Linked DNA regions of Coturnix japonica. The protein of the gene in region 3 interacts with the protein of the main gene of each other region in a biochemical or structural test. Links are inferred from orthologs where the notes say so. Each region holds a gene or a part of one and is shown on either strand. Other genes may lie near its edges. The genes, in order: RELN, DAB1 and VLDLR.

Evidence for each region.
Region 1: the proteins of VLDLR (region 3) and RELN form a complex in vitro, tested with the Homo sapiens proteins (6 studies listed by BioGRID). The link is inferred for Coturnix japonica from reciprocal best matches to the Homo sapiens genes VLDLR and RELN.
Region 2: the proteins of VLDLR (region 3) and DAB1 form a complex in vitro, tested with the Homo sapiens proteins (2 studies listed by BioGRID). The link is inferred for Coturnix japonica from reciprocal best matches to the Homo sapiens genes VLDLR and DAB1.

Annotation. Positions count from the first base shown.
Region 1 is NC_029516.1:11,730,227-11,737,697, forward strand, and holds part of RELN (reelin), read right to left. Parts: intron 7,345-7,471; coding exon 7,238-7,344; intron 6,819-7,237; coding exon 6,576-6,818; intron 6,103-6,575; coding exon 5,927-6,102; intron 4,380-5,926; coding exon 4,306-4,379; intron 3,636-4,305; coding exon 3,474-3,635; intron 3,123-3,473; coding exon 2,965-3,122; intron 2,136-2,964; coding exon 1,916-2,135; intron 922-1,915; coding exon 724-921; intron 336-723; coding exon 237-335; intron 1-236. UniProt on the Homo sapiens protein: Extracellular matrix serine protease secreted by pioneer neurons that plays a role in layering of neurons in the cerebral cortex and cerebellum by coordinating cell positioning during neurodevelopment.
Region 2 is NC_029523.1:23,459,159-23,467,169, forward strand, and holds the start of DAB1 (disabled homolog 1), read right to left. Parts: upstream 5,395-8,011; 5' UTR 5,335-5,394; intron 4,591-5,334; exon of another isoform or gene 4,302-4,590; intron 1-4,301. UniProt on the Homo sapiens protein: Signaling adapter of the reelin-mediated signaling pathway, which regulates the migration and differentiation of postmitotic neurons during brain development.
Region 3 is NC_029547.1:24,164,385-24,171,223, forward strand, and holds part of VLDLR (very low-density lipoprotein receptor), read left to right. Parts: intron 1-335; coding exon 336-707; intron 708-811; coding exon 812-934; intron 935-1,014; coding exon 1,015-1,137; intron 1,138-1,498; coding exon 1,499-1,618; intron 1,619-1,693; coding exon 1,694-1,819; intron 1,820-2,224; coding exon 2,225-2,396; intron 2,397-2,721; coding exon 2,722-2,946; intron 2,947-3,111; coding exon 3,112-3,230; intron 3,231-3,615; coding exon 3,616-3,755; intron 3,756-3,867; coding exon 3,868-4,009; intron 4,010-4,317; coding exon 4,318-4,464; intron 4,465-5,386; coding exon 5,387-5,476; intron 5,477-5,865; coding exon 5,866-5,940; intron 5,941-6,044; coding exon 6,045-6,214; intron 6,215-6,692; coding exon 6,693-6,728; 3' UTR 6,729-6,839. UniProt on the Homo sapiens protein: Multifunctional cell surface receptor that binds VLDL and transports it into cells by endocytosis and therefore plays an important role in energy metabolism.

The DNA.
Region 1 (7,471 bases), on a different chromosome or scaffold from region 3:
GTGATAAAGCCCCGCTTTCCCTCCTGTGTTCTTCCAAGAGCACAACACCTACCCCTGCTGTGCCACATATTTCATTGCCATCTTAACTGCTGCTGGTTGCAGTCAGGGCAAGGCATTAACAAAGACTGACTCTCAAAGGTTTCCCTGGGCCAAAGTGATTCTTACTGAGTTTAACACTTGTGCCATGCTGGAGGTATTTCTGAGATGGGGTGGGATGAGATGAAGCTGATACTCACAGAACAACTTCTACGTGGTCCAAAGCCCACTGATCATGACCTGTTCCATTGTGACGGGGCTGCCACCAGCGCAGTAAGACTCCTTTCATTCGTGCCTCCCTGTCATCACAAACACAAGATCCTATGAGAGCTCCAGACTACCAAAGGCTTGCACTTTTCTGTCTCCCCCCATCAGGAAATGAGAGCAAAGCCAAAGCGCTATTTGTGCAGGCTGTAAGCACAAAACATTCAAAGGTGAAAAATGCATACACAAAAGGAAGAATTAAATATATTTTCCTCTTATCCTTTAAACACAAATTATGCTTTTTCCAAAGTATTTGATAAGCACTCTCCTGTTCTTCCTTAATCAGCCTTCCCCTTACACTTCCTTCTTTTGCCTACCCTCTCATCGACCTTATTTTTCTTGCAGTGATGCAAAAATAGAGTCCTTCCTACAATAAATGTATCTTGTGCATTTAGACGTAATGAAATGTGACTGGGTACTCACAGGGGAACATTATAAGACACTCTTTGGGCTTGTATAAAGTCCTTTGGCTGATGCTGTGCAATTACTTGCCATGTAATTCCATTATTTACACTGTATTGGAGGAGCACTGCCTTGTCTACAGTGTTAGGATCACTTAGATTGGTATTGCAGCTGTCTGTTTGTGAAATGCTTCCAATTTGCAAAACAAACATGATTTTGCTGTAAAACACCAAGAGAAAAGGTATTGTCAATACGCAAATAAGTATCCAGACAAGAACGATTGTATTTCCACATTTATCACAGTTATTAAAAATTTCAGGATTCTCAAGTTTTGTTACTTTTAACACGTAAAATAAGTTGTTCTCACATCTAAAACATAGCTCCTTTTTCAAAGTAAACATTTCGCTGTGTACAGCATATATCCATATATTTGAAGGCAACAGATCCAGTTTTACAATGTACCTTTACTCAAACGAGATATACAGATAGAACAAACATGCAAATGAATATATGAAAAGCTAAAAAGGGGCAAATAAAAGTTGAACAAAGTACTGAAAAGATTTCTAATATTCTACCTAGGCATTCAAATAAGAAACAAAGAGTCTGATTCATATCTGGCCCATTTGCTGATTCACTCTGTTTCTAATAATTCTTTAGACAGTTAAAGACAAAACCAGTCCAGAAAGCTGTCACTCTGTTAAGGGTCAGCACAGGCTGGTTATGTTTGTTTTTCTGTGGCTAAAGAGATTTAACAGAAGAAAAAGATGCTCATTTTCATTTCCAGGTGAATACAATTTTATTTGACAACTGAAACAGGAAAATGAGTCCGTAATTACTGATAGCATCTTCACTCATGACTGCCATTGGAGGCACATGCAAACATGGCATTTGTTTTATCAGATCAGGCACTGGTCCAGACAGTCTGGTATCCAGTCTTTGCCAATGGCTTCAGTGTCAGTTCTGGCTTACAAGGCAGCTCTCTGTTGGACATGATGAAAACAGCTGACCTTTTCATTTGACATCGCTTCCTCCTCATTCTATCTCCCAAATGAAAGTCACAAAGCATTTTGTTTATCTGCCAACCACATCTGACTGCATGGTAAAGCCAAGTTAGTTTATCCTCTTCAATACTGCCTCACATGGCTTCACATGCATAGAAAAAATTTCCTTTCTCATAAGCTGCTGAAGGAACATTTTATGCTTAAAGTATTACCTTGCTCGGGTGAGATCCAGAGGCTTAGTCACAGCTTGTCGTACTTGACATCCATTAAAATAGAGTGAATCTCCGTGGGCATAGGGTGCCAGCTGTCCACATCCATTCCCTATCACTCCCCCCTGAATGGTTTCCCAGTTTATTTCAGTGACTCTTTCAGATTCAAAATTATCTTTAATATAACTGGGTAGATCATGGCTAAAAACAGAGCAGTCATCACCTAAAAATGAAACAGTGAAGTTATAAAACATGAAGAAATGAAAAAATTGGGAAAATTCAGTTAAATCCATTGTAATTGCATTCAAGTCAGTGGCTCAATAAACGGAGTGACTACAGGCTGAATATGTTTCAGCAGATCCATTAATAGTGTGCACATTGCTGCACAGCATTCAGTTTTATGAAACTGAAGCTGCCAATCTGTTATTTTTTACATCAGTACAACTTCAAGGATTGCAATAGAGCTTCCCCTATTTTCCATTGGTGCCATCATAAGAAACCTCAAATTGACACCTGAGGGGAAATGTGTTTAAAACTGGGAAGGAATCTGATCTCATAAAGTTACGAGACTGCCCTGGATGGCTCTAAACACTTTGGCTCCACTCCCATAAAGCAGTTAGGATGTAATGAGGACACTCAGGTACCGTTAGATATGTGCTTATCTGGACTGAGGCATTAGAGCAGAATCCCCTACAGGCGCCATCAACTTCTGGATCCTGTGTACACTTCCCCTGGGAGTGACTGCACCCTTGGAAGGAGTAGAAGGCTGAAAGCCATATCTGGCTAAGAAGGTAGCCACCTCCTGGCTCCAACAAAGATTGAATGGGCTTTAAATACAGTGCCAGACAGCAGAGACTAGTGATTCAATCCAGAAAGAATAAATGGAAGGAAAAGCTGTTAGCTGCAGCCCTGTCAAATTATGAGTTTAAAGTCTGTTACTCAAGCACTCCAGTGATGAGTTAAGACAGGATATATCACTCTATCTTTTTGTTTAACTTTGAGCTACATTAGTTTGCAGCAGTTGTATATGAAAGAAACTGAAGAAAAGAAACCTTGATATCCTTCATCACAAATGCAAATAGCTCCAGTTGTGCAATATCCTCGACCACTGCAGAGCTTTGGGCACGCTTCCCCAATGTACACATGGTCGATTGCCCAGCTTTGTTTCTCTAGTTCTTCTCCTTTCTGAATCCACCTGAACTGAGTTGCACTGCAAATGTCAAAACCCAAATACGATATTATGATATGTAACAATTAAACACATTTGTACAGAGAACTTCAAATTTTCCAGCAGAAGATGTAATTAGAAAAAATAATAATTGCATTAGAGTGTTGTGACTTTAATAACTAGAAAGACCCAGCCTGAACAGGTCATAACCATATTATTGGCAGTAGACACTTCTATTTAAATAAGCTTTCTCAAAAACATTAGTTCTACATCAGACCTAAATCCAGCAATAAAGAAGCATTTTAAATCCACCAGTTGTTCCAAAGCAAACAGTGCCAGCAAGACAGCTGACATTTTATAGACCCAGAGTGAGATGACCTTTTGGTAGCCTACCTGGAAGAGACATGATCAGGCAGCTGGATAGTTATTCTTCTCCACGTGGAGCTGTTGACAGAGTTATAGATGGTAGCTTCATGGAATTGAAATGGGGAGCAGCCAATGCTATTAGATGAGGAAGGAAGACAGTGCGTCTGTACGAGCTGCCACGAATCTGTCCTATAAGAAACAAAAAAATTATGTTCTTAGAACTACAGACGGAATAATGAAAGGGAAACAGGAAATCTCTAAAGGTCACAACTTCACCAATCTTACTAAACAAATCCAAAGGATTGCCAGCAATAGTCTTTGTATGCTTTGCAGCCACAGAAAGACAAGAGTTGAGAGGATGAAAGTCTGGTGCAGCCATGGAAGACTTTCCATGCTCCGTATTTACCTACAAGCATTTAAGTACAAAATATGCCTTCAATTGTACAAATTATAATGCACCATTATACTACAGCACAGTGCTATTAAAGAAATAATGTTATTGTTTGTCAGTTAAAGACCAAATCAGAATTAAATAACCTCTGCCTGATTACCTGTTTGGTCCTAAATATACACTCCTATACCATACTAAAACAACAGTATCCCATGAATGTGGTTTTCTGTGAACACATTTTTAACAGTAACAAGGGCATGACTGCAACTGCAAGCTCTGTCAACATCTGGGATAAATTATAAAGTTAATTTATGGAAGTTATGTACAGAAATCCCAGCACTTGCCAACAGAATTTGTTCAGATCCTGTTACAAGATGAACATCAAAGCGAATGCTTCAATAAATAAAAGCCCTTGAAGTTTTTAATAGCACACTATTTTTTAAGTCTGTATATTCTGCTCTCATTTACCTCGCATCCTTAGTATACTCCAGCATCACAGAGTGGAGGTCCCCACAAGATGATGCCTCGCAGCCAACCACGATCTATAGCACAAATAAAATTGGCAGCTGTAACAGGTCAGGTAGACATTTCATGTGATATATGATGAAGTGTTGCTCTATTTTTTATTTTTTACAGGTTGCCTAAAAGAGAAACTTAGACCATGGAAAAACATCCATCAGAAGTGGATGAATAGCAAAAGACACAGTACTTCAAGTACTGTTTAATTGTACCTCACTGTTATTTTCAAACAGAATCCTAACACTGCTATCTCAAATTTCAAATTAGCTATCTAAACAAAAACTGAATCTGAGACACAGAGAGGTGGGCGCACCTTGGCACTTGAGAAACACCTAACTTCATATTAACTGCCCATGAAATATTTGAATCATAATAATTAAAATGGGAACGTCAAATCAAGTCAATCCAATTTAGGAACAGAATTATCCTGCATGTATCAAGCAGTAACCATATTTGTGCCATGTTAGAATAGAAAGATTACAGCGTCCTTTATAGAGTACTGAAGAGGTAACGCAAAGCTAAATTTTAAGTACTTCAAAACAAAATGGCAGACATATATTTAGAGCTGCATTCTTAGTTTAGAAATAAAATCTTTGCTGTGTCTGGAGAAAAAACACCTTACTCAGTAATGTGAAAAATCCAATGCTGATGGGTTATCTTACTTTTTGCCCTCAAAATAGAGGAAAATGATGATATGCCGGGTAAGAGTAGCAGCAGCTCAGAGAGGTCTTGGCATGCAGTAGGATCTAGCATGTCAGACTCCACTTTTATATCATTTCTTTAAAGACAGCATACTGTGTATAAATGGTCACAGCATCGCTTTCATGGAGTATATTAGTCAATATAAAATAGGCAACTGTGTTGAGAAAATATTGATTGAAAACAGGAAATCCCAGAGCTGTAAAAAATAAAAAAGATAGCAAGAAAGAAACATAACAAGAAAACAGACAACTATTTGTATGACTTGGCTTTCATGTTATTTCTTGGCTCTGGGAAAGACCGAGAACATTTCCAGGCAACAACTACGTAAGCATTTTCTGATTGCCACTGTCTCTATTCGGAATTCTACCTTAACTAAGTAAAATACCCAGAAATGTTACTCTGATTATTCAGAATACTGTTCATTACACAAATAAGCAGAGATGTTCTTCTACTCTGAGCTCTCCTGCATTTTCAATATGCCAGCTTGTTTCCAGCCCAATTCTGTATTCCCTTTTCTGTTTATTCACCAGGTGGAGGAAATGTTGTATTCTGCATGCTTTATATTTTCACCTTAGAAAATAATTCTCACTGCTGATCCAGTAATTTGTGGAGAAAGGGATTAGACTTCCAGTCCTTCTCAGTAACCCCTGAAGGATGCAGGCAATCAGAATTACCCATCATTTAGCATTCATGTAACTTTTCAGGTACTCGTTACCGACACTTCAACATTTCTCTTAAATTCTAATAATTAAAGTCATAATTTATTCATCCAGTTATGCCTCATAGCTGGAAGAAGGAGAATTTCTGAAGAGAAACTAGACCGTTTTTCATTGCATACTTTACGCTGTAGAGAGAGAACATTCCTTACTTTAAACTGCATCATGTACCCTGGCTGTATAATGAGCTCCCTGGAGGACAGGATGTTGTGTGTTTTGTCCTTTTTCTTATTCGGCCAGTAGAGATGGAATGAAGGATTTCCACAGAACCCTGCAGTCCTGACTGCATTAGGATAAAAACTCCAGTTTTCTTCGTGAGAGATGCCTTCTGTTAACATACAGAGTTAAATACAATTACTGCATTGTCTTGGTAAATATCAAGGCTTAGTTATGAATCCACAGAATCACTAGATATAAACTCTACATCTCTGCTAGCTGTTGTGACATGCAGTAAGTTAAGCTACTAGCAGACACAGTAAAAACGTCAGCTCCAGACAACTAATTTAAATTTTAAAATAACAGCATTTCCAAAAATATGATTAAATAAAATCTCCCTGTTCAAAAATTTACATGAATTGAGGTAGACTGAAAAAAATGCCGTTCTTACAGGTATACCCATACATATACACAAATACACCTGAATTCATGTGCAAATACGTATTTACACACCAGGATATAAACAGTAGTTGTCTACAACAAAAAAGAGCTCAAAAAAGAGAAAAAAGGTGTTTGCAAGTTCACGGACCTTTTCGCAAATAAAACCACAGCAGACAACAGAATAGCTGTCACAGCCTTTCTTACCATCATCAAACGTATCTACCAGCTGACTGGGGTTGATCTCTGCTCCACCAATCAGAATGTTATCCAGAGCCCACTGCGCCCGATCAGGCCCTGAAACCACAATGCCATTGCTGATGGTGAAAGGCTGCCACCAGCGCAAGCGGGTTGTGTTGGTCAGAGCATGTTCGGGGAGAAGGATGTAGTCATGCCTGACTGAGATGTATTTTTGGTAATCCATCTCATGAAGCAAAGTCCAAGTTATTCCTAGAATGAAAAGATGCAGATTTAGTAATAAAAACAAGAAACAGACAGAATCTTCTAAAAGATTAAAGGGAGATAATAGGAAATCAGGAATAACAGCTATGGTCTTCTAATAAACAAATCTTAACTTCTTAAGGGTGGCTGGTAACTGTTATTCATTACAAGAATAATCTTGTAATTGTATGAAACAACGAATTGGCTGGAAGCCACCAATTAATAAAATCAAGCAGGAGGATGATGGAAAACTTCTCCCAAGCAATAGATGGAAATTTTAGATGGAGGAAGAACATCAAAAGGAGAAAAATGCCTTTTCAATGAAAAACAGCCTTAGCGATTTGTATCTTTCTGATGACTTCCCAGATATTTATGGTGTTTGAATACTGAACAAGGCTGTAGTTTAGAAGAAACTTAGATGTACTTGCCTCCATCTATGGAATAATCTAGCAGCACTCCCTCCTTTCTGCACGTTGGTCTGTGGCATGTTGTCATGTTGTTTTCACTCCCAATTCTTCCCCAGTACTGAAGAAATCTAAGAGTAAATTAAATGTACACAGTTATAACTAGTAAAGTGTATCACAGATCTAGAGATTTGCTTTCTATTAGCAGATATGCTGAAAATGCTCAAAATGCAAAAACTTTTACGCATGTAACACTGA
Region 2 (8,011 bases), on a different chromosome or scaffold from region 3:
CCTTATCCAAAAGCACTTGACCTTCATTGTAATTTCCACACAGCTCACAGTAAGCCACCTGAGTGTGTACGAAATGCGATGAATAAAGAAATATTAGGAAATGATGGAATGTTGTTAAAGTAGGTCACAATTCAAACAGCACAATTACTGAAGAAAAAAATAAATGATGTTCGAAACAGCATCATTCACTAAACTGCTCACACTGGGAGAGCTACTCCATAATTTATTTTGCTCAACAACAGCTTCTGTCCATATTCTTTCCAATCTCCGTATCCCTGAAGACTGCAATAATGCAGCCCACTGTGCCACACAGCAGCAGTGCCCACACGAGGCACAAAATGTCACAGATCACAGCTCTACACCTGACCAACATAATATATTCATCAAATTCTTTCAAGCAGTCTGAGCATTTGCTGCTGTTTTGTGGGTCAGACCTCACCGAGACAGATGGAATGGGCACTTTATTTACATATGAAGTCCCTAAGCCCATTTACTTTATTTATGGCAGATGAAATCTGGACTTACATGGGCAACTAAGCAGCCTCGTACCAGAGACACTTATTTAAACAAAGTAAAAGTGGTTGTATCCTATGTTTCTAGATGAAGATTCATCCGCTCTTTAATATTCATTTCCATGTACTTAAAACACCCTAAAAAAAGCTCAGAGTACTGACATTGATTCACATCCTAAGAGGAGATCAGCGCAATTAAGACATGCTCATATGCTAACCCAGCTTCAAGAGACTACTGCAATCTCCCAAACACTTGTAACTACACTGTGAGAGCCTGTGCTCTACAGAATGCAAGGTAAGTCCATGTAACCCATATCAGAATGCTCAGTTTTTTCTTTCAATCAGAAGTTCAGTATAGTCACAGATGCAGATACTGGCATTCCCTGTCCCTCCATGGACTAAACGAACTGGCTGCAAGGATGAAAACATAGGAAGGAAATCTGAGTGTCACTTTATACATTAGGTTTATCTTGAGTGACTTTGAAGTAGCATTTTAATTTACTGCTATTGACATTACCATGAAAGCTTTGGGGGAAGATTTCTATAGAAACAGGAAAATCTTTGCTGTAAGGACAGTATTGACCCTTCAGAGCTATCTTTGACTTATCTACATGAGCGAGGTAGGCAGCTTGGAAGCCTCTTCCCCCTTCCATTGCTTACTGCCATCCTGCTCCTTTTCAAGCCAACTGCAAGAAGGCACTGCCATTAAAGAACATTTGACATCAGACTGCTACTTTTTAACTAAAAATAGTTGCTATTTTTATTAGAGAAGATTCAGGTTCACACAGTTGGATGGAAAATCATGACCATAGAACAGTTTAGAGCATTGTTCTCCTGAAACATCAGTTACTTTTCAGTAAGCTTCATCACCTTGGTTCACTATGGACGCTACATAGTGATGCAAAGCAGATGTGTCCAGAAAGCACAGGGGGCATGGGGTGGGTGACACACTGACCACAGCAAAACACCTTGTAGGAAGGCAGAACATTCATGTCTTCCTCAGCTGAAGCTTTCAAATGAGATGTAAAACAGAGCCCTGACCACTCATCGTCATTAACGATCCCATGGCAATTCCTGCAAGAGTAAAAATGTTAACTAACATGTCCTGGCCAATATCCAACTCGGATAATTGCATTCTGCTTCCTAAATTCCCCTTACAGTTTCAATTGGATTAGTTTTTCTTCATCTCTCTTCCCCAAACCCCTCCTGCATAATGCTTCCAGCCCACGACGGCTGCTGAATTCCACTCCAGAGGTGCATGAATTATCAGTGTTGGGCAATCCCAACATCCATTTGGATGCGTTACTCAGAGAAAGCCCTCCATGAGGCAAAGTAATACCCTTACGGCTCTCACTGAGGAATATTTAACTTTTCAAATCAGAAATCCCAGTGACGTCAGTAGGATTTGTTTTCCTTATCATACGGCACAGTTATTGTACAGGTACCATGGCCAGTGTCCCACAATTGAGCGCAGTCATTTGCCGCGCTGTATCCACAGCTTAAGGACCCAGAAGTAGTTGCTCCATCTTAATAGATCTCTGCTACATTAAAACTAGAGTAAATAAATATTCACACAGCAGTTTTTCATTGAGTCAGTCACGTTTAAGTGTTGTAAGAATCAAAGAAGCTCCTGCTGAGCGCATCAATCTGCAGATATAAAAGAGGAGTGCATGCGCATGTTCTTGCATGAGAAATTTGGAAGTTCTTTATCTTGGCATAGCAATGAAGAAATTTAAGGGCTGTGAAACATGGATCTCCTATTATTTGTGATGGGTACTATACGTTAGGTACTTGAAATAATGTGATGGCAAACTGCAAAGTCCTGACCCAATGCATTTTATGGAACAGGAGGAGGAAAGGTGATTTATGTGCATAAGAGCAAAATCTGGCAAGCCCTTGATCTTCTTGTAGAACAATCCCAAAACGATTGTCAAGATTGCTCAGGTTTCTCATCCTCTGTATTTCTTGTAATAGAACAATTTCAACCAAAATGGTGTTTTATAGACACTGTTTAAGGGGTCATTTTCATTTGCTCTCCAGGTTACTCAGAAGAATACCTTTCATTCCCTGTTCCAAGAACTATAATCAGCAGTTGAGAATAGCTTGTTTTCATCTCCAGCCTGCTTTGCGTGCCTGGCAAAGCATCAACCCACAAACTTGCTACCCACTTCACTCTCGAGTGCTCCAATAGCAGAAGGACATTTAAAGTCTGAGAGTGATTGCAAGCAGAATGCAATCAGAAGAAGAAGGAGCATAGAAAACATCATTATGTCACATTTTCCCTACAATTTTTGTAGCCCTCCTCCATTCCCCCCCACCACCATTAAAACTGAACTCACTTAATAGAGGTTGCTTTGAAAGCATCCACACCTGCCAGTGCTGGGTTGGGTTTGTTGCTTACATCTCTAAATAGCGTGGAAGGGAGCAATGTAGACTCCTGCAGTTCAACAGCAAAAACTCATATTACTAAAGCATGAAATTGGTGAAATTAAGAGTTGCCAACAGAGAAGCAAGCACGGTTTAGGCTCATCTGATCCATGCAGATGGATTCACATAAGAATATTAAGTAAGAATCAGGTGGTGACTGAAATACAGACTACATTCCTGACCTTCATATGGTGCTGCTAAGGAGAAAGTTGATCATCAAGAGTGACCAACTTCTTGTTCCTCTTGTGCTGTCATTCTGGGTACCAGTCTCAACTCCAGCTCATTCTCTTTTGCTGACATCCATACAGGAAACAATGCCCACCCTCAATCAAACATCTTCCCACAGTTTCTTCCAATGGAGAAATGGTCTTGAGCTGGAGGACACTCAAGGTAAGTAATTACTGGCACTTCTACAGAAAACACAGGATTCCAGCTAAGTCCATTCATTGAAACGTAATTGTAAAAGCATCTAGCTGTTCATCCATGACCTTAGCTTTATGAGCATCTCTAATAGGGACTGCAGTACCATGTCTCTATTTAGCTTCTCCTTCCTTCCCACTTCCTCCCAGGACAATTCTGCCTGGAGCAGATACATTGGAATTACTGCTCTCTACAACACAGCATCCTCTGCCACAACAATCAATAAAAAATTAGCATGACTACAGGAACAGAAGCTTGGGATTAGAGAAATCTAAGAATAGAAGGATTTCCCTCCCCATCCTGATGAACCCTTCCAAAACCCATCTGCAAACATTTTAATTCCCTATCAGCTTGCTGGAGGAAGTCATTAGAGAGGCCAAATTATCACAGTGGCACGTGGTGCTGCCTAAGTGTCTGTCAGTCAAGGAAACATCAGCCTGCAGGTCCCCCCCCCCTGCACCCTCATTCTCCCACCCATGGCAATGGTGCTTAGAGCTCTGCTTGAGCGATGGACCCGACGCTGACCTTCAACCACGAAGCAGGGTGTTATTTCAGCTGCTTATTTCAGGTCCCACAGACACCATCACCAAGTCATAAGAAACCTTCACTGCCTGATTTGCAAATGCCACCCATCTCAGCCATCTCCTCCTTCCTTATCCCCGGTCCTCCTTGCCTCCATCCCCAGTAGCACCACAGACACTGAACCACCCAAGGAAGACAACCACGGCACCGTGAGCTGCTGCTCAGCACCAGAACATCACTCTGCTTAGCGAGGGAAACACATGCAAGGAAAAGACCTTCTTGCCAATTAATTAACAGCAGAAAGCAAAAGCCAGAAGGACCTGTTGCAAATAAATAAATAAATAAATAAAAATGAATTGATTCCGAATAAAGCTTCGGGTGGGTTGGGGGTTTGCTTTCCAGGTTTCAGCTCACACTTACCGCTCCCATGAACGTTTAATACCACAATTAAAAGAACACAGTCAGTTCAGGTCGGAAATCCAGCACGGTTATTGCTCATAGAAGTACTGAAGCCGCGTCGCTGCAGCACTGGAGGGTTATTTGCTCCAAGGACCTTTTTAATATGGCTGTATTGTAACACTGCAGTGCAAATGCCTCTCCGCTCACGAGAACAAAATTCAGCTCAGAAACAACTCGTGGGCTCTGACGAGCGGCACGTCGGCTTCAAGCCGCGCTCATCCAACAACGGCGTCATCACACGAGAGCGATGCTAACGGCTCCGGGCAGCACTCGGAGCACACAGACAGCCCCCACCCCGGGCACCGACACTGGAGCAGCGGCGGAGGGACCGTATGTGAAAGCAGGACGGCACAGCAGCGCTGCTGTTCCCCGCAGCCAGCCGTGCCCACAGCTGCACCCTGCAGCCCTCATCAACCCATCCCATCCCGGCGCTAAGCCCGAAGCCGGAATTCACAGCACCGCGACTCAGACCCCGCGGAGTCACATCCCGAAGGGGTTACGCCTAATTGCTCACCAACCTGACCAAGCGGGCACCTCCGTTAGCAGCGGGGCACAGCGAAGGGCTGAAGGGCAGCACCGCGAGGAACGCGGAGCCGACGGGGGACAGCAACCGAGACAGACACACAGACACACACACACGGCACGAGCCGCCCGGTGCTCACCAGCCCCAAGTTCCCCCGGCAGCTGCAGCGCTGCCAACGGCTCCGCGCCCCCCACGCGGGGCTTTCCCCGCGGCCACGCAGCTCCGCCGCCCCTCCGTAACGGAGCAGCCCGCAGCCCCCGCCTCCCTCCTTCCATCCCTCCTTCCATCCCTCCTTCCATCCCTCCTTCCATCCCTCCTTCCATCCCTCCTTCCATCCCTCCTTCCATCCCTCCCTCCCTCCGAGCGGCCCAAACTTTACACACAAGCTCTCCCCCGCTCCACGGCCCCCCTTAGTGAGCCGGGACCCCCGTACACACACACCATACAACCCGGCCGCCTCCTCCTCCCTACCTGCAGCCCGGCTCGGCCGCCCGCAGCGCCGTTCTCATCCTCCAGCGGCAGCGGAGCGATGCGCGCACCCGACTCCGCGCGCAGCTCCGCGCGCAGCTCTGCGGCCCCTGCAGCCACCGCGTTACCGCATTCCCCCTAATAGAGGGGCGAGGCCGAGCCTGGCAGCATCCCCCCGCCCGGCCGGGGGCAGAAGGAGGCGCCCAGGGGGTGAATGAGGGACCTGGAGCAGCTCTCAGCGCAGAGATGCGGAGGTGGTGGGACCTGGAGCATCTCCCGATGGGGACAGGGTGACAGCCACGGGGTTGTGCTAATGGGGAACAGAAGGCTGAGAGTGGATCTTAACAGCCCTGTTCAGTATCTAATAGGGGTCAGGGGGATGGGATGGGGCTGGGAGCTTTTCAGCCATGCTCAGTGACAGAATAAGGGGCAATGGGCACAAGGTGGGACAAAGTTCCATCTGAACATGAGGAAGAACTTTACTGTGAGGCAGCAGAGCCCCAGCACAGCTGCACAGACATGGTGGGGGGACTCTCCTTCTTTGGAGAGATCCAAACCCACCTGGATGCATTCCTATGCAGCTGCTGTAGAGAACTGCCGTAGTGGGGTTGGACTGGGGAAGTACAGAAGTTCCTCCTGACCCCTGTGGTTCTGTGGATCTGAGACAGCATTTTTCACAGCCCCAACATCTCACCAGCACCCCTGTGCCATGTATCTGTGACAGCACGGATGGTTTCTCCTGCCTGTTAGGATCCAGGTGCCAGCCCTGAGCCATCTGATAACAGCTGCTTCAGACACTTTGTTATCCCTTAGTTATGGACAATAACAGGTGAACAAAACTGCTGGACAGCCTATGGGACTGAGCCATACCCTGATTGCCCTCCTTATCCTTAGTTGCTTCCAGTCTGCTCCTTTCTGGGGTTTAGGAGAATGGGAAGAGGATCCACGCCAGCCCAACCTGCTCCAATCCCACCACATCCCCATTACAACTCTCAGCACAAAACACCTGTCAATCTCATGACCTGCATTCTTCCACTGTTTCCAGACCCCTGCCTACTTTTAGCAGAACTCCTGCTGAAGTGGGGGAGGGTGGTCAGTTGGATTTGGGAGGGGACCCCATGAGAAACTTGCATGGAAAGAGCTTAACCAGACGAGTCAGTACAGAGAGCATCAAATATGCAAATGCTCATCAGCAATCCCATCCAAACAGGAACCGGGAACTGTCTGTAAGAGATGACTGCATGAGGTCTGTCTGCAAACGCTGTTAATTTCTATTCCTTAACGCAGATGGCTGAGCAAAAAGCCCAGGGATGCTGTGAAGGAGAGTGCTGGTGAGCTCACACAGAGCTGCTGAGGCTGTGTGCCTCCGAGCAGCAAGGAGCAGAGAGCTGGGAACGAGGCAGGAAAAGCAGAAAGGAGGGAATAATGCTGCAGCCACAACCACAGCCAGGGAAGGGCTGTGCTCTGCTTGGGGCAGGCAGAGCTTGGCATGGAAATGAGGTTTCCCTGTTACGTTACTCAGCAGCTACAGCACACATTGCTCTGAGAAAGCAGCATGCAGCACGGACTCTGTTGTGCTCAGCTGTTGTTCAGCTTAACTCAGAGGTTCCTTTAATTGCAAGTCAAAAAGTCCCATGTGGTAATGAAAGGGTTAAGAAAAAGCTACTTTCACCCTCACATCTTGACAGTGACATCAAGGTCTCCCTGCTTCTGTACCCATAGCACATTTCCTTTCCAAGTCTCACCATTATGGGCTTAGAACCAAAAGTATCACCCATGGTGCTAGCAAAGATCCCTGAAGCCAGGCATGCAAAGGCCCCCCATCTGAGCAGCTGGGGATGCACTCTGCTGCCCTTTGCACCCAGGCACAGCTAAGGGTGCCCCAGGTTAGGGTGCCTGCTTGACCCAAAATTGCCATGAGGAAATCACACCTACCCAATGTACTTACCCTCAGCAACTCTCAGACACGTAACTTCCAGGCAAGCGTGAATGCAAATGTCTGCCAAAAGAGAATTATGACTTGCCCTGTCATCACCTTCATCACAGCCGGGGCTTTTTTTCCTTCTTTTTTATGACTTTAGGAAATTATTGGCTTTCTCAAGCAAGACATGTGTCCTCTGATGGCACCTACCAAAACAGACCTCTGATCTTTAATGTAGTCAAGGCAGAGATATTTAATCTTAGGCATGCCCAGGAATAGTACCACATCTCATAGGTGTAGATAAATGCTCAATCAAAGCAAGAGATCCCAACAATCCTTGTGGACTGCAGTGCTCTCTGCCCCCATCATCACAATTGAAGGCATTTCTCTTCTATCCCTGGGCTGGAAGAGTGGGGTGTGAAGGCACATTTGTTGGCATTTCCAAAGGCAGCAAGTTAAAAAGGATTGCTGAGGTGCTTCCCCATAAAATGCATTGCATCACTCTAACATTCACCGCGTGCTCCTACACTTCACTCCAACCTTAAGATGAGTATTTAAGGTGTAAATATTAATCTGGAGTTCCAACCACAGTGTACACACCCACCCACTTCATCCACTGAAAGAATAATTAATTTTATGCAGTTGTTGCCTCCCAAAACACTGCTTTCAATGGCAAAAGTCAAGAATCACAAATAATAATTATATATATTAATAATTATAAATAATAATGATGCCTGTTTCTCATTTTAAAAATGAACT
Region 3 (6,839 bases):
AGCAATTCTCTTACCTTCTGTCTCTGGTTCACAGGTTCTGAGCCTGTTTTCCTAAGGGCTAGCATGCTAAAGCAGAACAAACAGGAGGTTATTTTAGCTCAGTAGCTCAGGACTGATGTTTCTCACTCTTAATGCTTAAGACAAAGAGAATTGTTCATATGTCACGTGTGTATTGTAGGTGATCAATTAGATTATCCTAAAGCCTTCTTTTTGCAGAATGTTGACCTAGTGTCAACTCACATCTGATGGAGCAAAGAAACTGAAAAGCAAAATATGTTCATTCAGAAGTCTTCCTGTGATAACCTGCTAATATTTTTTCACTCCTGTTACTCCAGGCAACGTGACTTGTAGTGCAGCAGAGTTCACATGCACTAGTGGGCAATGTATTTCCAAGAGCTTTGTCTGCAATGGTCAAGATGACTGCAGTGATGGTAGTGATGAGTTGGAGTGTGCACCTCCAACATGTGGTGTTCATGAGTTCCAGTGCAAGAGCTCCACTTGCATCTCTGCCAGCTGGGTGTGTGATGATGATGCTGACTGCCCTGACCACTCTGATGAATCTTTGGAGCAATGTGGCCGACAGCCTTTGCCTCCTGTAAAGTGTTCTACCAGTGAGGTGCAGTGTGGCTCAGGTGAATGTATCCACAAGAAGTGGCGCTGTGATGGAGATCCTGACTGCAAAGATGGAAGTGATGAAATAAACTGCCGTAAGTTAGCTTGATTCCTCTTCTATAGGAGGTGTTCCTTGGCCCCTCTTTTTTTCCTTTTTGCAGACTGCAGGAGTCAAATTGTCTAATGGCTGTCCCCACAGCTTCTCGGACCTGTAGACCAGACCAGTTCAGGTGTGAAGATGGGAACTGTATCCATGGGACTAGGCAGTGCAATGGTGTGAGAGACTGTCTAGATGGCACTGATGAAGCGAACTGTAACAGTGGTAAGTGTGCAGATTAACAAGACTGAAGACTTGCATAGTTTCTGAAGCTGGCAGCCTCTTCATAGTCTTCATTATCTCAGTTATTCAGTGTTCTGGACCTGGCAAATTCAAGTGCAGAAGTGGAGAATGCATAGATGTTAACAAAGTGTGTAACCATCAGGGAGACTGCAGTGACTGGAGTGATGAGCCTCTCAAGGAATGTAGTAAGTGAACGAACTCCTTATGTAGTACTGACTACTAAACACTTCCTGAGCTGTCAGTTGTTGGAATGAAATACTTATCTGTATTTACTTAGTAGCAAAAATAAACAAGAGTAACCCAGTTAATAGGGCTGTCGTTATCATAGTCAAACTGACTATTGGGATGACTTTGTGACCTGAAGGTACTTGAGGCCATTAAACTCTGAAGGTCAGAGGAGCCTCAGCTGCTGCTGCCCACTTAGAACACAAGCGTATTGATAGCTGGTCAAATGTGGTCTTGAGCATCTGGTACAGCACTCAGTGACTAAGATTTCAGGCCTATATATGTATGCTGTTTAAGAAATGACCTGTTCTTCTCTTCCAGACATAAATGAATGTTTAGTCAACAATGGTGGATGCTCTCACATCTGCAGAGATCTTGTTATTGGCTATGAATGTGACTGTCCAGCTGGGTTTGAGCTTGTAGACAAGAGGACGTGTGGAGGCAAGTATCAAATTAGTTAATAGTGAACATATGAGTTGTACTGTAGATGAGAACAAAATGAATTTGTCTTTACAGATATTGATGAATGCCAAAATCCTGGTATCTGTAGCCAAATCTGTATCAACCTGAAAGGGGGATACAAGTGTGAATGTAGCCGTGGCTATCAGATGGATCTTGCTACAGGAGTGTGCAAGGCTGTGGGTAAGTATTGGCATGAGACAATAACCATAAGCCTGGAAGTCATTCACTTTTAAGTGAGACAGTTAGTGATGTACATTTTCATGCTGCTGTAGTTATGACCCAAACTATGCTCTTAACAGCATAACTTGAATAGGCCTGAACAGTCCTAACATTCTGAGTAGTGCTATGACATGCCACTTAAAGCTACCATGTCTACATGACAGGTTTTTTTTTTTCCCAGGGAGGAGGGTGCTCACCATGAAGGGAGAAAAGAATGGGGTATGATACAGCTAAGATGTTTGTCAGTATCCATTTCCAAGTGTGAAATAGCAGATACTAAATATGACTCCTAAAAAGCTGTCTTAAAGGCCATTGGTTTGTGACTTGATGTCTAGAAACATAGTTAAATAATTACTTTTTCTGCAGGGAAAGAACCATGTCTGATTTTCACCAACCGACGGGATATCAGGAAGATTGGCCTTGAGAGAAAAGAATACATTCAGCTAGTAGAGCAGCTAAGAAACACAGTTGCTCTAGATGCTGATATTGCTGAGCAAAAGCTTTATTGGGCTGACTTCAGCCAAAAAGCAATTTTCAGGTAAATGGACTTATCCTCTGACTTAGTTCTACCTTAAGCATCCTGTATTTTACCCAAGATTCTTCTGTAGGCTTTTGTGCTGAGAGCTAGATTACCAATGACCAAGACTAAGCACAGCAGGTACAATCTCCTGGAGCTAGCATGTGCATACTTGTTGCACTTCTTTGTATCTGTTTCAACTGTGACCTTTTCATAAGGTGCCTGATTTGCGAGTACATCTTCTAGATTGCATGCAGCTCCTTGGCAGGCAGCTTTTGCTGAGGTGTGCAGAGCTGTAGTCTGTTAGGACAAAGAGGGGTAAAAGCAAGTAATTTTTGTTTTCCAGTGCCTCTATTGATACCCGTGATAAAGTTGGAACACACACTAGAATCCTAGACAACATACACAGCCCTGCAGGAATTGCTGTTGACTGGATTTATAAGAACATCTACTGGACTGACTCATCTGCAAAGACCATTTCAGTGGCCAGCCTGAATGGCAAGAAAAGAAAGGTTTTATTTCTTTCTGATCTGAGAGAGCCAGCTTCTATTGCTGTAGACCCTCTCTCTGGGTGAGTGTTTGTCCTAGTTCTCTGGAAAGAACAAATCTACTATCTACTCTGTGTTCTGATAGTCAATTTACACAGCCTTTGTCTAGCTACTTGTTAGCAAATGTAATAATTAAGAGTGATGCTACAGTATCTATAGTGTCATATAACATAAATTATGCTCCACAGCTTTATGTACTGGTCAGACTGGGGTGAGCCAGCCAAAATTGAAAAAGCAGGAATGAATGGATTTGACAGACAGCAGCTTGTGACAACAGAAATCCAGTGGCCTAATGGCATTGCTCTAGGTATGTTGAGTTTGTCTCTGTGCCACAGGTATTCTGGAGCTTTAGCAGTTTGTTCACTACAGAAGCCAAGGTCATCGTTCAAATAACTATTTTTAGCTTTTGATATTGGGAAGTTTTTGTATGCCTAGAGACACTACAACAGGCACAGCACTTCAGATGCTGAAATGGTAACTTTCCCTGCACTGCTGTGTATCCTACCTAAGGCATAGTGCAATTAGGCAGCACTACAGCAGTTTTCTGTATTCCCATGTAATAAGAAACTATATGGTAACACTGCAACAATTCTTGAGCGTGTGGGTGTTGTAGCTTTTGCAGGAAACTCTAGTGGTCTTACACACATAGCCAGTAATTGGTGGTTTGTGTTTTTTTTTTTCTCCCATCCTAGATCTTGTAAAAAGCCGTCTGTATTGGCTAGATTCTAAACTACATATGCTGTCAAGTGTGGATCTGAATGGCCAGGATCGCAGACTTGTGCTGAAGTCTCATATGTTCCTTCCTCATCCTCTTGCTCTAACAATATTTGAGGTAAGAATGGCTTGCTGCAGTACTCGTCAGAACTCTTCTTCCAAGTATGTGGCTAGCAATTATGGTGCTGAAAGAAATACAGAGATTATGGGAGTTAATGACTATTTTCTAGGATCGTGTATTCTGGATTGATGGAGAGAATGAGGCAGTCTATGGTGCCAACAAATTTACTGGAGCTGAATTGGTTACCCTAGTAAACAACCTCAACGATGCACAGGACATCATTGTTTATCATGAACTTGTTCAGCCTTCAGGTAACTACTAGACTTCGTAGTTCTATCAACATATACTTGCATGAAGCCTGCTGTGATTGTGTGTTAGCAAATGGTATCTTCCCCCTGTATAACTATCTAATTCATTTTGGTACTTGAAGCTTTTAGTCTAGCACACCCACTGGGTTTGAGAGAGTCTAGTTGCAATTTTTCTTGCTTGGGCAGATTAGATATAACCTGCAGAGATAAACAACTCAACTAGAGCAACTACTGAGCAAAAAATTATGCTGTACCTTTGGAGCATGAAAGCTCATTCCTGTCAATCACTTAAAATGAACCTGTACCAACAGGCAGGAACTGGTGTGAAGAGAACATGGTAAATGGAGGCTGTAGTTACTTGTGCCTGCCTGCTCCTCAGATAAATGAACACTCTCCGAAGTACACTTGTGCATGTCCTGCTGGATATTTCTTACAGGAGGATGGTCTGAGATGTGAAGGTATGATTAAAAAACTTCTTTCAGGATGGACGATGGGAGAATTGGAATCATGATACTAAGCCTGTAAGAGGCAAACATGACAGTACAGACTGACAGCTTTGCATGAGTAAATCTTATGCAACTTCTCTTAGTGAGGGTGGTCTTCTGGCATGCATTGAGCTACCCTCTAAGTCTGCAGATATTGTTCAGAGTTCATGCCTGGCTTCTGTATCATCATCATTTGCAATAAGACCTTGTGCTTCCACAGCTTTCTGCAGACAGCAGGCATATGCACGAAGCCTACCTAGTCCTTTTGTTAGAAACCAGGGGTATAAACTAACATTGCTGTACAGTGATTCAATCCATTATCTTGAAATGGTCATGGGTTAATCTTGCAAGTTTGTGTATTTCCTTTCCAGTTCCAAGCAAACCTGCTGCTGCTTGTACACTGAGCTCTGGCTGTGTGGCAGACTTGTGTGTCCAATCTAGCAAGAGTAGGATCTCCAAAGTGTCACTCAATAAATTGCATGTTGATTGACTGCTACAGTCAAAGCAGTGAATGTGAGGACATGGTTCTCCATTGGCTGAAGGTAGTGGCTGCTCTATAGGATGGATGTCAAAGGCTGTATTTGACCTGCAAGCTTTATGGAATCAAATATTCTACAGGGAGCGTGAAATGAGTAGGGTGGCTTATATTTTCAATTACTTCAGATAAAGCTTATGCCTGTTTAAGTGGCTCACGTGGTTCATGCAATCATTTATTTTTTTTTATCAACACTTTCAATGGAAGCTGTACTTAGTAAAATAACTAATGTCAATGTTTCCAATAAAGCTAACAAGCTGCATGACCATTCTGCCATCTGCTAAACATTTGCTGCCATGGCTGTCATAGTTAAGCCATTGCAGAACTTCAGGATTAACTGGGTTCTTGGTCTATAATTAGTTTCAGGTACTGGAACAACTGTGACTTACACTGAGGCTAAAGATACCAGCACAACTGAAAAATCTCCAACTGTTGGACTAGTTCCTGGAGGTACTGGTCCCATTAACTCAGATTACTAAACAAAAGATAAGAGAAATGCAGACTAACCCACTAGCATACTTGAAATCTTCTTTGCATGCAAGTAGAAAAAAAACTACTTCATGTATGTAGTAGAAATACAGCAGCTGGAGTATGCGATAAACATAATTTGTTCTTTTATGACTGCATGGAACCCACAGGTTCCATGAAATGCCAAGAGTGCTCAGAGAAGGGCAGCAAAAAATCTTACTGCTAAGATAAGATGAAGCGTCTTAGCACTGTTCTTGTATAACATTAATAATGTTGGAGCAACTTTTAGGCTTAATGTCTTAGTAAGAAATCTGAATAAATCTGCTATCTTGTGATTAAGAAACCTTACTACCTTATGAATTATTGTGCAGGATTCAACATCAGTAGTGTGATGTCTGAAGTAGCTGCAACAGGAGCATCAGGAGCTTGGGCTGTTCTTCCTGTCTGTGAGTACCATGTGTTGAGATCCTTTTTGGTGGGATAAGCTCTTTTTGTTCATAAGTTTGACTTGATACTACTCTATACTTAAAATGTATGTTTCTCCCTGAAGTATTGCTGGTGATGGCTGCAGTGGCTGGCTACTTCATATGGCGTAACTGGCAGCACAAGAACATGAAAAGCATGAATTTTGATAATCCCGTCTATCTGAAAACTACAGAAGAAGACCTCACAATTGATATCGGCAGACACAGTGGTTCAGTTGGACACACCTACCCTGCAGTAAGTAAACTGATTGATATATGCCTGAGGTTTTGGGCTAGTCCTCAGAGTGGATGTAGCAAAGAGCTGCCAAGTGACTTTCAAGATGAGGCTGGATTGGGCCCTGAGCAACTTGATCTAGCTGTGCATGTCCCTGTTCATTGCAGGGCAGCTGGACTAGATGACCTTTAAAGGCCCCTTCCAACTCCAAGGATTCTATGATTCTGTAAATTGGGAGAGGTTTCTGTTCTGGAATGCAGAGACATACTGACTGCACTGAAACTACTGGGCTGAATCAATTCAGAGCTCATACTTTTAATCAAGATTTATGTCGTAGTCGGCAACTGCTACTGTATGACTGGGATGGAGTAAACCAGTGTTGAGTATGGTTTCTAGCCTGCAGAACTAGAACCTACTTCAGACTGCCCTGTAGTGAAGACTTGCATTGTTGTCCTTTATTGGTAAAACTGTAGTTAACAAACACTTTTTCTTTTTACAGATATCTGTTGTAAGCACAGATGATGATATGCTGTGAGCACTGGATTAGCAATCGCTTTCAGTTTACTTTGTGTTTTACACTTACGGGGATGATAAACATGCTTGTGGCTGAAAGACTTCCTCCATTCTTGGAAGAATGAAGAAACTT